2 linked regions of the Xenopus tropicalis genome follow. The protein of the gene in region 1 binds, or shares a complex with, the protein of each later gene. Links are inferred from orthologs where the notes say so. Each region holds a gene or a part of one and is shown on either strand. Other genes may lie near its edges.

Region 1 (5,599 bases):
AAAGTTCAACAAGCTTTTGCTGATTTTCTTTCAGCTAGAAACCGCTGTTTTATATTTCAGATTCAGGGTTTGGAATGGATGGTTTCCTTGTTCAACAACAATTTAAATGGAATCCTGGCAGATGAAATGGGGCTCGGAAAGACCATTCAAACTATTGCACTCATAACCTATCTGATGGAGCACAAAAGGCTTAATGGGCCATACCTTATTATAGTTCCTCTTTCGTAAGTACAGAAATGTTGTCTTTTGGTTCCTTACCTGAAAAAATAGAATAAAGTTATAATGTGCACACAAACACATGTTGGGTGTCATCTTTTTGGCTTAACATTCTGATTATATCAGAGGCCCTGTAGAGATTGTCAGGGAGAGTATTTCAACTACATTTCCAACATTTTTTTTTATCAGTATTAAAATGGGTCTGATCAGATACAAATAATTTAAAAGCAGAGGAAGTAACAATTATGTCAGAAATGTTCAGTTGCAAGATTTTTGGCCTCTACAAACTGTCAATAAGCAAAATCGGAAGGGCCCACGCAGATACATAAACTTTTCACCTACTATTGCACCTACATGTGCCGTACACATATGTGCTAGTACAAGTTACTGTTTTCTTACTACATAGAATAAAGAAATGATAAAAGAGAGACACTATAGAAATCACAATTTCTGTATTTCTGAGTTTTTAGGATAATGGGTTTCTAGATAATAGATCCCATACCTGATCCCATAAGCAGTTAACTGTGTAGTGCTGAATAATTAGCAGATGTCTAGAAGATTAGAAAATATCAAGAAGATGTTTTCAGATCAAGCTGGCACTTGTCTACAAAACAAAAATACAGTATATACAAAATTATTTTAAAAAATGTCCATGTTATATTTTAATGACTTGATATACTGTTTATTTATTTAAATCAATATTCTTTCCTCTAGGACTTTGTCCAACTGGCTATATGAATTTGATAAATGGGCCCCATCAGTTGTGAAAATCGCATACAAGGTTTGCAGTTTCACTCTATTATTAATGATCGTGAAATTATTCCTTTACTAAAGATATATGTGTGTGTGTGTGTGTGTATATTTTATTATGTTCACCCCATCTTTGCATAGAATTATGTTAAACTGCTTAAATTGCCACATGCGTCCTAGTGCAAGGTAATCATCCTAAAGACATCACTGCAATATGGGATAATTACTTTCAGATGGAAAAATGCTGCACAAAATGGTTAATTATCATATCCAATATCTAGAACGAGAGCAATAATAGTTCTTACTGCATGTGATTTTGTGGGCATGGCTGACTGATTGAAAGAGCGCACCTGTTTCTAACAACCAGACACATAACAGAGTTGCTTGTTCTAATTGAGCTATTTATCTTTCAAATGAGTGTCTTGCAATGTAAAGAAGCACTTAGCCTAGTTATTTGCATCAAGGAGTTGACCTTGAATTTAACTTGAATTTAATATGAGTTACATTTTGGAGGCATAAATCCCTGACTCCTGAACTTCCCATTCTGCTGAATTATTTTCAGTGTTTTTTGTATTGAAAATAGTATTTGTCCGTTTATGCACTACTACTTCTGACAATACAGAAAAAGCAGTTAGCGAATAATTTGAATAATTGAATCTTGTTTCATGAGTCACAACCAACAGTGCAGAGAATAGAAAGGGATAGAAAAATGTTGCTTTCAACTACAGCTACATTTGCAAATAACTCTGACCATTGACATTTTTAAATAATAAAGTCATTTATACTGGAAAATTATATTTTTTAAAGTGAAACTCAACACAAAAAAACACCAAAAAAATGGGTCAAGTTTTAATTACAAAAAAGACTGTTGTGTTTTATACGGAACTATTTAAGTTCTAACAAACTTCAGGCTTGATTTATCTCTCTCTGCTGATTCATAGGACAACCTTGCAAATCCCAATTTGTATAAGCCTAAAAAACACCAAACCTAATCTAAATTCTGCGTTTTCTGAAAGCAGAGCACCAGAGGATTACACGATTCAAGTAGAATGCTAAGTGTATGTAGTGTAGGAAACCCAGGAAAATATTAGGGGTCATTTAACTTGATCCCTGACTCAAGTGTTAGCGCATCCAGCCTTGACTGGCCCTGTACCTACCAGATTGGAAATTAGTGCAGAGCACAGCCCTGTTCTTAGGCCTATGCCACACTTGCTGATTCTCAGCAAGCAGATAAATTCCTCATGCGGCATAGGCCTTACTGCTTACCATAGGGGAGACGGTATAGTTCTCTGTTGTGGCACTGCCTAAGTTGAGCATCAGATTGATAAGTGAGTCGGGGCAGGAGTGGGGCATACGTGCCTCTTACCCTTCATGGATGCATTGTATTCACGAGGTACACTCATATCTTTAGGTGTTTAAATTAGTGTTGTAGCTTGTCCTGCATTTTGTAAACGTCCGCTTTTCTCATTTAACATGGAAAATTGAAAAGTTACTCTTGTAGCGAGTAGCATGCAAATACCTTGTAAGATGAAAATGGACTGGTATTCTTAAGAATAATTTCTTATCACAGTCATTCAGTGTCTTTAAACTTGGCACATTTCCTTCTGTTTCAGGGAACACCAGCAATGAGACGTTCTTTAGTTCCTCAGCTAAGAACTGGGAAGTTTAATGTTCTGCTAACCACTTACGAATATATTATAAAAGACAAGCACATACTGGCAAAGGTAAGTGGCCTTTTTGTGGCATTCTTTTTTTCTCATTTATTTTCTCAAGTTTTTGCTGTTCATTCTGATATTTAAAAGAGACTCCACCAAAAACACAAGTGCCCAAGCATAAACTTCAGTGCCTTTAACAGGCCAGTATTTAAAAACAATCCTGGCTCGAGTACATATCAGGTGATTAGAGACTATGCGCGAGCCAGACAGCAACCTAAAATTGCTGCAATAAAGGCTTCTAGTCTGCCTTTAAAGTCCCATTGACTTTTGAAACATTACTTTAAGTTGATTTAGCAAACATCACATACATGGTTGCCACAGAAGATTGACATCAATGTCAGTTCCAAGTAACTAACAAAGATTTTCAGCCAAAGCATGTTTTATAAACTACTTGAGGACAGCTGGATTATAAGGTGAATTACAAAAATGTTGAATGGAGCTTTGCTTGTGTAATACATTGTGTGTGGCCATACATTGATAGATCTGCTTGTTTGGCAAGGTTGGCAAATAAGCAGCTCTTACCTTGATATGCCAACCTCAAGGACTAAATGATCGTATCACATTGACAGGATACAGGCCATTGGGACGAGGACCGCATTAGTGAGTCGACAGTAATTGGTCAGATATCAGTCCTTCAATATAGGCTCCTCTGAGGGTCCCATACATAGATTGTCTGCCCATGTATGGCCACCTTATTGTAGTCTGTGTTCGCCATGCAATAGAATGGTTCTGCAACCAGCTGATGGGTTTGGTGTTTTAGTCTCTTGAATGAATGCCTTTTTACAGCCTGCAAACTATGATTCTTATTGCTTTATGTCCTTTCCTCTTAATTTAGCTTGCATTAATGTTATGCTTACAGCATATTAAAAAAACATATAAGACACAAATATAACTTGGTATAAAAAGACAAACACCCATCCTCTTCAATTTGCATTCTGCTATGAACATACAAAAAAAGCTGTGTTACTGGCTTAGAATTAACAACATATGAGTACAGCAGCAAGTGGGAGGTTGAAATATAGAGTAGTACGGTATGTGTATGTATCATTATACAATATCTGTGATATTTCTAATAGTCACTGATTCTTGTCTGTTGCACTTATGTGTACACTGTTTTCATTTACCCATCAACAGATCCGATGGAAATATATGATTGTTGATGAAGGGCATCGAATGAAGAACCATCACTGCAAACTAACACAGGTGTTGAACACTCACTATGTTGCCCCAAGACGTATTCTACTGACTGGCACTCCTCTGCAGAACAAGCTGCCAGAGCTCTGGGCTCTTCTGAACTTTCTACTGCCTACTATCTTTAAGAGTTGCAGCACCTTTGAGCAGTGGTTTAATGCTCCATTTGCAATGACAGGAGAAAGGGTAATGTCTTACTTCCATCAGTAAAAAACTTTTACAGTTAATATTATGCTCTGTCTGGTGAATGAAAGCTTTAGTGTCACTTGTAGCAATAGGATGCAACTACAGTTAAAGTGCATTAAATCATCTGTAAGTTAGACAGCAAATCTTTAAGGCAATTAGTTTGTTTACTAAGATGATGTTGCCCATAGCAACCAATCAGCAATAACATTTAAACAGTCACCTACAAGTTAAGAATCAAAAGCAAAGACCTACTGTATATACTCGAGTATAAGCCTAGTTTTTCAGCACCCAAAATGTGCTGAAAAAGTCACCCTCGGCTTATACTCGAGTCAGGTGCCATGGGTCCCTCTAGACTAGCACCCTCTGTCCTTTGTGTGCAAATTAGGCCACCTGCAACCAGACCCTCCAGTGCCCTGGCCTAGGCTCCCACTAGCAATACTTATTTCCCCTTACATCTCCTCCGGGACCAGGTCTGCTGCCAGTTTGCCAATGTGCAATGAGCATGGGGTAGTACTCATATTGTTTTTGTTGACCCTCTTCTCTGCTTACAGAGCTAGTTTACTGTTTTTCTTTGAAATAAATATTGAAGAACATATACCCAACTGATGCCTCAATTAATGTCATTTTATTGGTATTTATTTTGATTATTAAAACTTAGCAGTAGCTGCTGCATTTCCCGCCCTAGGCTTATACTTGAGTCAATAAGTTTTTCCAGTTTTCTTAGGTAAAATTAGGTACCTCGGCTTATATTCGGATCGGCTTATACTCGAGTATATACGGTAATTGGTTGCTACAGGCAACATCACCAATGATATTTATTTCCAGTCTTAGTAAACACGCCCCGATGTCTTCATTTTTGTTTCATTTTTTTTTATTATGCATCCCTTGGGCTTGGAATTTTAGTCAGAATGGAATATGAATAGAATTGAACAATATTTGCAATATAGGCACCCAAGACAATTTTAGGGTGTTAATTTAACAATGCATGTCTGTGTGGTCCCAGGGTTTTATATGAAAGTATAATTTTTTTGTATAGATTTTTGTGGGACCTTCATCTTTTTAGAAGTTGTTCTTAAACAGGAACCAGACTTGTCGATGTCCACAGTTATTTCTAAAGTCTTAACTTAGTTGCTTTGATTTTTCCTTCGGTATTATTGGAACAGTTTAGTTAGCCAAAAATGTACTCTATAAAGGCTGGAGTGAACATATGTCTAATGTAATAGCTAGGACTTTACTTCCTCCTTTACAGCTCTCTAAGCTGTTAGCATTCAGTAACCAATCGGTGACTTGAGGGGGGCCATATCGGACATAACTGTTTAGTTAGTTTGCTTTTGAATCTGACCTGCGTGCTCACAAACTAACTGAATAGTTATGTCCCATGTGTCGTCCCCCCCCCAAAGTTGATTACTAACTGACTGAGGTTATAGAGCTGTAAAGGAGGAAGTAGTGTTCTGGCTAATATTGTAGACATCTGCGAAATAAAGTCTTTAAGTTATTCCTTTGAAATGAGCTCAGAAATAAAGTAGATAACTTATTTGAAT
Region 2 (6,210 bases), about 25 Mb from region 1:
CATAGAACATTAGCCTTATATTTACAGAAAACAGCAGACCTAAAGGACCCTAGGCAAGCACCAAGTCATGACCATTGGGTGGTAATAGTATGAGTGAGATGACAAAAATGTGGAATGATTAGCAGACCACCTAAGTGCACAGCTTTTGTTGTATTATCTCTTTAGTTTTAGCGATATGGTTCATTTAAAAACTGTAATGCAGATTGGCATTCTCTGTATTTCCTATGATATTTAGCACTCTCACCGGCAAGTAAAATCTGAGGAATGGCTAAAGGACCTTGGTTTTGTATACTGTAAAGAATTAATCCTGCAAATAGAAAACACAAATGTCCTATCCTACTTTCAAGACTGTATAATCAATTTGCAAGTAGAACAAAGAGTTTTAAAGCCAAGGAATTTGGGTCAGGAGAAATAAAACCTATATTAGTTTGTGCATGTGTGCATGAAAAATTATGGCATTCACTTATTGCTGTGCTAGTGGCCGGCCTTTTCTCAGCCAGCAGAGAAGTGCCAAAATCCTTGAAAGGATCCTGGGCTATTTCATCCAAATTAATGTTTCCATTAATATTAATTACATGCTTCTCATCTGGTTTAGGTGTTTCACAGCCAGCTGAAAATACTATGTAAAATGAAATATCCAGGATTGGATCATTATCTTATCTTATAACCTGAGGTCAGTTGGCATCTCTGCAGAACAATGTTCCCTATAAGCAGTGCGCTCACACACAACAATTTTGTATTTATTTTTACCTGAGCAGTTTTTAAAAACGTGCACACAAGTTTAAAATGTATGCACACAAGTTTTTTGCACACAAAGCCAAAAAGTAATGAGGGAACGTTGCAGCAGGTCTATTTCATAGCCCTTAATTGCTTGTTAGGGCAGGGTTGGACTGGGGCGGCCGGGGGCCCAATGGGACTGCCACCTGGGGACCCTCCATCCCAGTTGCGACATCAAACCCCGTCCCCCTACTGCATTTTCTCCTTACAACTGTGATAAAAGGACTGTGGGCCAGCACCTAGTTATAGGAGGGAGCAAAACTGGGTCAGGACAGCCTACAAGGGCCAGGGCCCTGCCGATCCAGTCCATACTCGGTTTGAGGGCTGCCAATGGCCTATTGTTGAGTGGTGTAACTACTACCCCATGGGCATGGTTGCAAACTTTGCACCAAGGTCCCTCTCAAGACATGAGCTGCCGTGCATACTAAACATATCATTAAAGGAACAGTAACATCAAAATATGAAAGTGTATTAAAGTAATTACAATATAATGCACTGTTACCCTGCACTGGTATAACTGGTGTGTTTGCCTCAGAAAGACTATTATAGTTTATATAAGCAAAGCTGCTGTGTAGCCATTCGAATGAAAAAAGGCACAGGTTACTTAGCAGATAACAGATCAAATGCCATTGTATTCTACACAGTTTGTTATCTGCTATGTAACCTGTGCCTTTTCTCCTTTTTTCCAGCTTGAATGGCTGCCCCCGGGGCTACACAGCAGCTTATTTATATAAACTATAGGAGCGTTCTGTAGCAAATACACCAGTTTTACCAGTGCAGGGCAACAGTACATTACATTTTAATTACTTTAAAACACTTTCATATTTTGGTGTTACTGTTCCTTTAAACGTTAATGTCCACTGTGGGTTTCGGGTTCCAAAATATTAAAAGGCCGGTATTTTTTTTTCTAGAAAAAGTGGCAACCCTTGGCTGATCTTTAGTATTTCCGCACTAATAAAAATACTAAGTAAAACTATTTTACGAAGCCGCTACTTTAGTCAGCGTACAACCAAACTACGCCCGCAGGCAGCTATAAGTTGTGCGCTGAAACGCCGCGCATGCGCTTTATGCAGTTCCCTTGACGCCTGCGCTTCGTGTACTACGTAGTTGGCACATGCGCTGTTCGGTGGGCCCGGTGTTGGAACGGAGGCAGGATGATCATGGCGTTAAGTAAAACGTTTGGCCAAAAGCCAGTGAAATTTCAATTGGAAGAGGATGGAGAATACTACATGATAGGATCCGAGGTACGAGTCCAGGGCAAACGTTAAACATCTCCGCTGAAGCTGCGTAATACAAACGTGGGGGAGAAAGGGGTTTGGGACAAAGGATTCCTTCTTTGTTACAGGCACTGTTGTGGGCGAGACCAAGGTTTCTGTAAATCTTCATGCGTGTAAAAGAAAAAAACCAAAACAATAACAAAAGGGGGGCGGGTTATTAGTTAGATAAAAAAGAGTGGTATATCCAACCGGCGGGCCCTTGTTTCACTACAGCTCTCATCACTCCCAGAATGAAGGAAGTGCTAGTAGTTTTAAAGCAGCTAGACCTACAAGTTGAACGCACTGGTGAAGGGAGAGGTGGCCAATGGGGGATGAATTTGAAAGTGCAGCTGACTGGTTAGAAGTGCAGCAACAGAAAGCATGAGGTAAACAAAACATCTGTAATAGAAATAGGCTGCAACTCCTACCTTTCCCCTAAATCCTCCTTTCTGGAGGCCTGCTGTGTTGTGTAGCGCCTCATTGTATGCTGTCACTTCAAGGTGTACACATTATATTTGGGTCTGTGACCAAATTTTGCAGCCTGAAAACGTATTATTGTTTTGACTCTTAAATACTTTGTCTTTTATTTACAGGTGGGAAATTACTTGCGCATGTTCAGGGGATCATTATATAAACGGTACCCTTCCCTTTGGAGACGGTTGGCAACAGTAGAAGAGAGGAAGAAAATAGTAGCGTCTTCTCATGGAAAGAAATGTAAATATTAGTAGTTTTTTTTACCTGGTTTGTCTGGTGAAAGAACAGCTTGGATTAAGTTGAATGCACCAGTTGTCTATGGCAGCCCTGGGATTTCCGAATTTTTACCTGTACTATCTGGATTTGCAAGTCTACTATCTCCAATGGTGCTTTGTTCTAGAACCTTATAACCCAAATACTTGCTTCCGTGGGATATTTCTGGCCTCTGTGGAACACATTACATTACATTAACATTTATTTATAAAGTGCCAACATATTCCTCAGCGCTGTACAATAAGTGGGTTACATACATTGGACATAAAGAGTAACATATAAAGCAATCAGTAACCGATACAAGAGGTGAAGAGGGCCCTGCCCAAAAGAGCTTACAATCTACAAGCACCTGCATAGCTTTCACTACCGACTCCAAGGATGCCCCGCAACTGCAAATACCCTCTCTACCTTAAATTACTGGGCCATCCCCCACCACTATTATTCCCCGGCTACCATTGTGGGGAAACATATATTTGATATCTCCAGGATTTTTTCCTGGAATCATCACAGGCTCAAATACCTAGGTGGCCACATTATAAATACCATCTATTCAACATATATTTTACAACAAAAATATCAACTACCTCATTTGCCCTTCTACAGATTCTTTTAGTTGCGACGTGCTTTCAATTTACAACTTTTAACCTATACCTCAGACCTTGTACATCTAGTATTGAGAACATAACTCGGATAGGTCCAGGCTGGTTTCATCTGGTGGGATGTGCCAGCTGGACACATCCTGTTCTGTTGCACAATGGTCTGTTGAAACCCACCCCAACCTGTCATGCATGCTCAGACAGTTGGGCTGAAGGGTCCAGATCTGCCAACCAAAGCTGGCCATGCTAGGACAGCTTTACAGAATTCAAAATTCACAAAAATGTAAACCATTTCAGATTGTCTAAGAATACCTAATCTAAGCTATTTTCAACCAGCTTTTGGCAATTAACATTGTTTCTACTATAATTTTAAGATGACCTCCCTTAGTTTGCCACATTCATAATTTCTTGTTTTAATGTAACCGAACTACTTTAAGTATAAAGTTTTTAAACCTTTTACATATTGCTGTTTTCTTCCTCCTTAGATCATGGATATACCACTTTAGCTACCAGTGTTACTCTCTTAAAAGCTTCAGAAGTTGAAGAGATCCTTGATGGGAATGATGAGAAATATAAAGCAGTCTCTATTAGCACAGAACCACCAACCTACCTCAGGTGAGTGAGGCACACATTTGAGGTTTTTAGTCATATGAAACATTTGGGAACCCCTCTCAGCCTGCATAATAGTTTACTCCACTTTTAACAAAAAAGATAACAGTGGTATGTCTTTCATTTCCTAGGAACATCTGAGTACTGGGGTGTAATCTGAACAAAGATTTTTAGTGAAGCAGTATTTAGTTGTATGAAATTAAATCATGCACTGGCTGTGCAAAAATTTGGGTACCCTTGTAATTTTGCTAATTTGAATGCATGTAACTGCTCAATACTTATTACTGGCAACACCAAATCGGTTAGCTCGTTAAGCCTTGAACTTCATAGGCAGGTGTGTCCAATCATGAGAAAAGGTATTTAAGGTGGCCAATTGCAAGTTGTGCTTCTGTTAGAGTCTCCTCTGAAGAGTGACAGTGTGGTTTAGGGAAAGGCTACAGAAAGCCATCTCAGAGGTTTAAACTGTCAGTTTCAACTGAAAGGAATGTAATCAGGAAATGGAAGGCCACAGGCACAGTTGCTGTAAAACCCAGATCTGGCAGGCCAAGAAGAATACAGGAGTGGCATATGCAGAGGCTTGGGAGAATGGTAACAGACAACCCAAAGATCACCTCCAAAGACCTGCAAGAACATCTTGCTGTAGATGGTGAATCTGTACATCGTTATACAATTCATACATCTGTATGGCAGGGTGATGAGAAAGAAGCCCTTTCTGCACTCATGCCAAAAACAGTCACTTGTTGTATGCAAAAGCTCATTTAGACAAGTCACAGTCATTTTGGAACAAAATGCTTTGGACTGATGAGACAAAAATTATTTGGTCATAACAAAAAGAACACTGTCAAATTTGGTGGAGGTTCCATCATGCTGTGGGGCTGTGTGGCTAGTTCAGCGACTGGGGCCCTTGTTACAGTCAAGGGTCAGATGAATTCATCCCAATAACAACAAATTCTTCAGGATAATGTTCAAACATCATTCACAAAGTTGATATTCCAACAAGACAATGACCCTAAACACAGTTGGAAATCTACAAAGGCATTTATTCCATATTATGGAATGGCCGTCACAGTCCCCCGACTTGAATATCATTGAAAATCTATGGGATGATTTGAAGCAGGCTGTCCATGCTCGGCAGCCATTAAATTTAAAGGAACAGTAACACAAAAAAATTAAAGTGTGTAAAAATAATTCATATATTATATACTATTGCTCTGCACTGGTAAAAGTTGTGTATTTTCTTCATAAATACTACTGCAGTTATTTAAATACCCTGCTGTGTAGCTATGGGGGCAGCCATTTAAATTGAAAAAAGGAGAAAAGGCACAGGTTACATAGCAGATAACATATAAGTAGCATAGATTCCCATTGTATTCTACACAGTTTATCTGGTATCTTCTTATGTAACCTGAGCCTTTTCTTTCAATTTAAATGGCTGCCCCCATGGCTACACAGCAGCTATTTCTATTAACTATAGTGGTCTTTCTGAAGCAAACACGCAACTTTTACAAGTGCAGGGCAACAGTACATTATATTTTAATTATTTTAAAACATTTTTATTTTTTAGTGTTACTGTTCCTTTAACTGAGGAGAGATTTTGTATGGACAAAGGTAAAAAAAATACCACTATCCAGAATCCAGACACTCATCAAAGGCTATATGAGGCGTCTAGAGGCTATTACATTTGCAAAAGAAGGCTCAATTAAAGGAGAAGAAAAAGGGTTAGAATTGCGACCCCATAACTAGAAAGGCCTCATGTCCCTGTAGCTGATCGCTACCTTTTTTTTTTTACCTCGATGTCCTGTATATTGCCTGCACTCTCCGACTTTCATAAACGCTATATTTTGCCTATTGTGCCCGCCATGTTGGATATTTAAATTAGTCCAACATGGCGTCGTTTAAGGAAATTCGCATCTGCGAATCTTCTTCCTCCCCCTAGACGCGAGCACGACCTACTCTACCCTGCTTGTGTAATTCAAAGCGCGCTCACAGCATATGTTAAATGCGCATGCGCTTACTGAGTAGCTGGTCTCGGTGCAGGAGCGAGGCATTATGGGAATCTTCTTTACACAGCCCAGCCTTTTTTTTTTTTTTTTTCCTGTTTGGCTTCTGATCATCTGAACAGGCGAAATATGGGGAGACTTAAGTGACTTAAATCGCTTACCTTGTACCCCGGGTTGGTGCCCCTGTTAGGAGAGAACAGCTCCAGCCCGGGGTACCTGTAGCGA

The links.
Region 2: smarca2 (region 1) and smarcb1 share a complex: the UniProt entries of both Homo sapiens proteins name them as parts of the BAF complex. The link is inferred for Xenopus tropicalis from reciprocal best matches to the Homo sapiens genes SMARCA2 and SMARCB1.

Annotation. Positions count from the first base shown.
Region 1 is NC_030677.2:128,239,763-128,245,361, reverse strand, and holds part of smarca2 (probable global transcription activator SNF2L2), read left to right. Parts: intron 1-60; coding exon 61-224; intron 225-930; coding exon 931-997; intron 998-2,579; coding exon 2,580-2,690; intron 2,691-3,815; coding exon 3,816-4,058; intron 4,059-5,599. UniProt on the Homo sapiens protein: ATPase involved in transcriptional activation and repression of select genes by chromatin remodeling (alteration of DNA-nucleosome topology).
Region 2 is NC_030677.2:153,166,797-153,173,006, reverse strand, and holds the start of smarcb1 (SWI/SNF-related matrix-associated actin-dependent regulator of chromatin subfamily B member 1), read left to right. Parts: upstream 1-1,929; 5' UTR 1,930-1,931; coding exon 1,932-2,021; intron 2,022-2,626; coding exon 2,627-2,747; intron 2,748-3,861; coding exon 3,862-3,991; intron 3,992-6,210.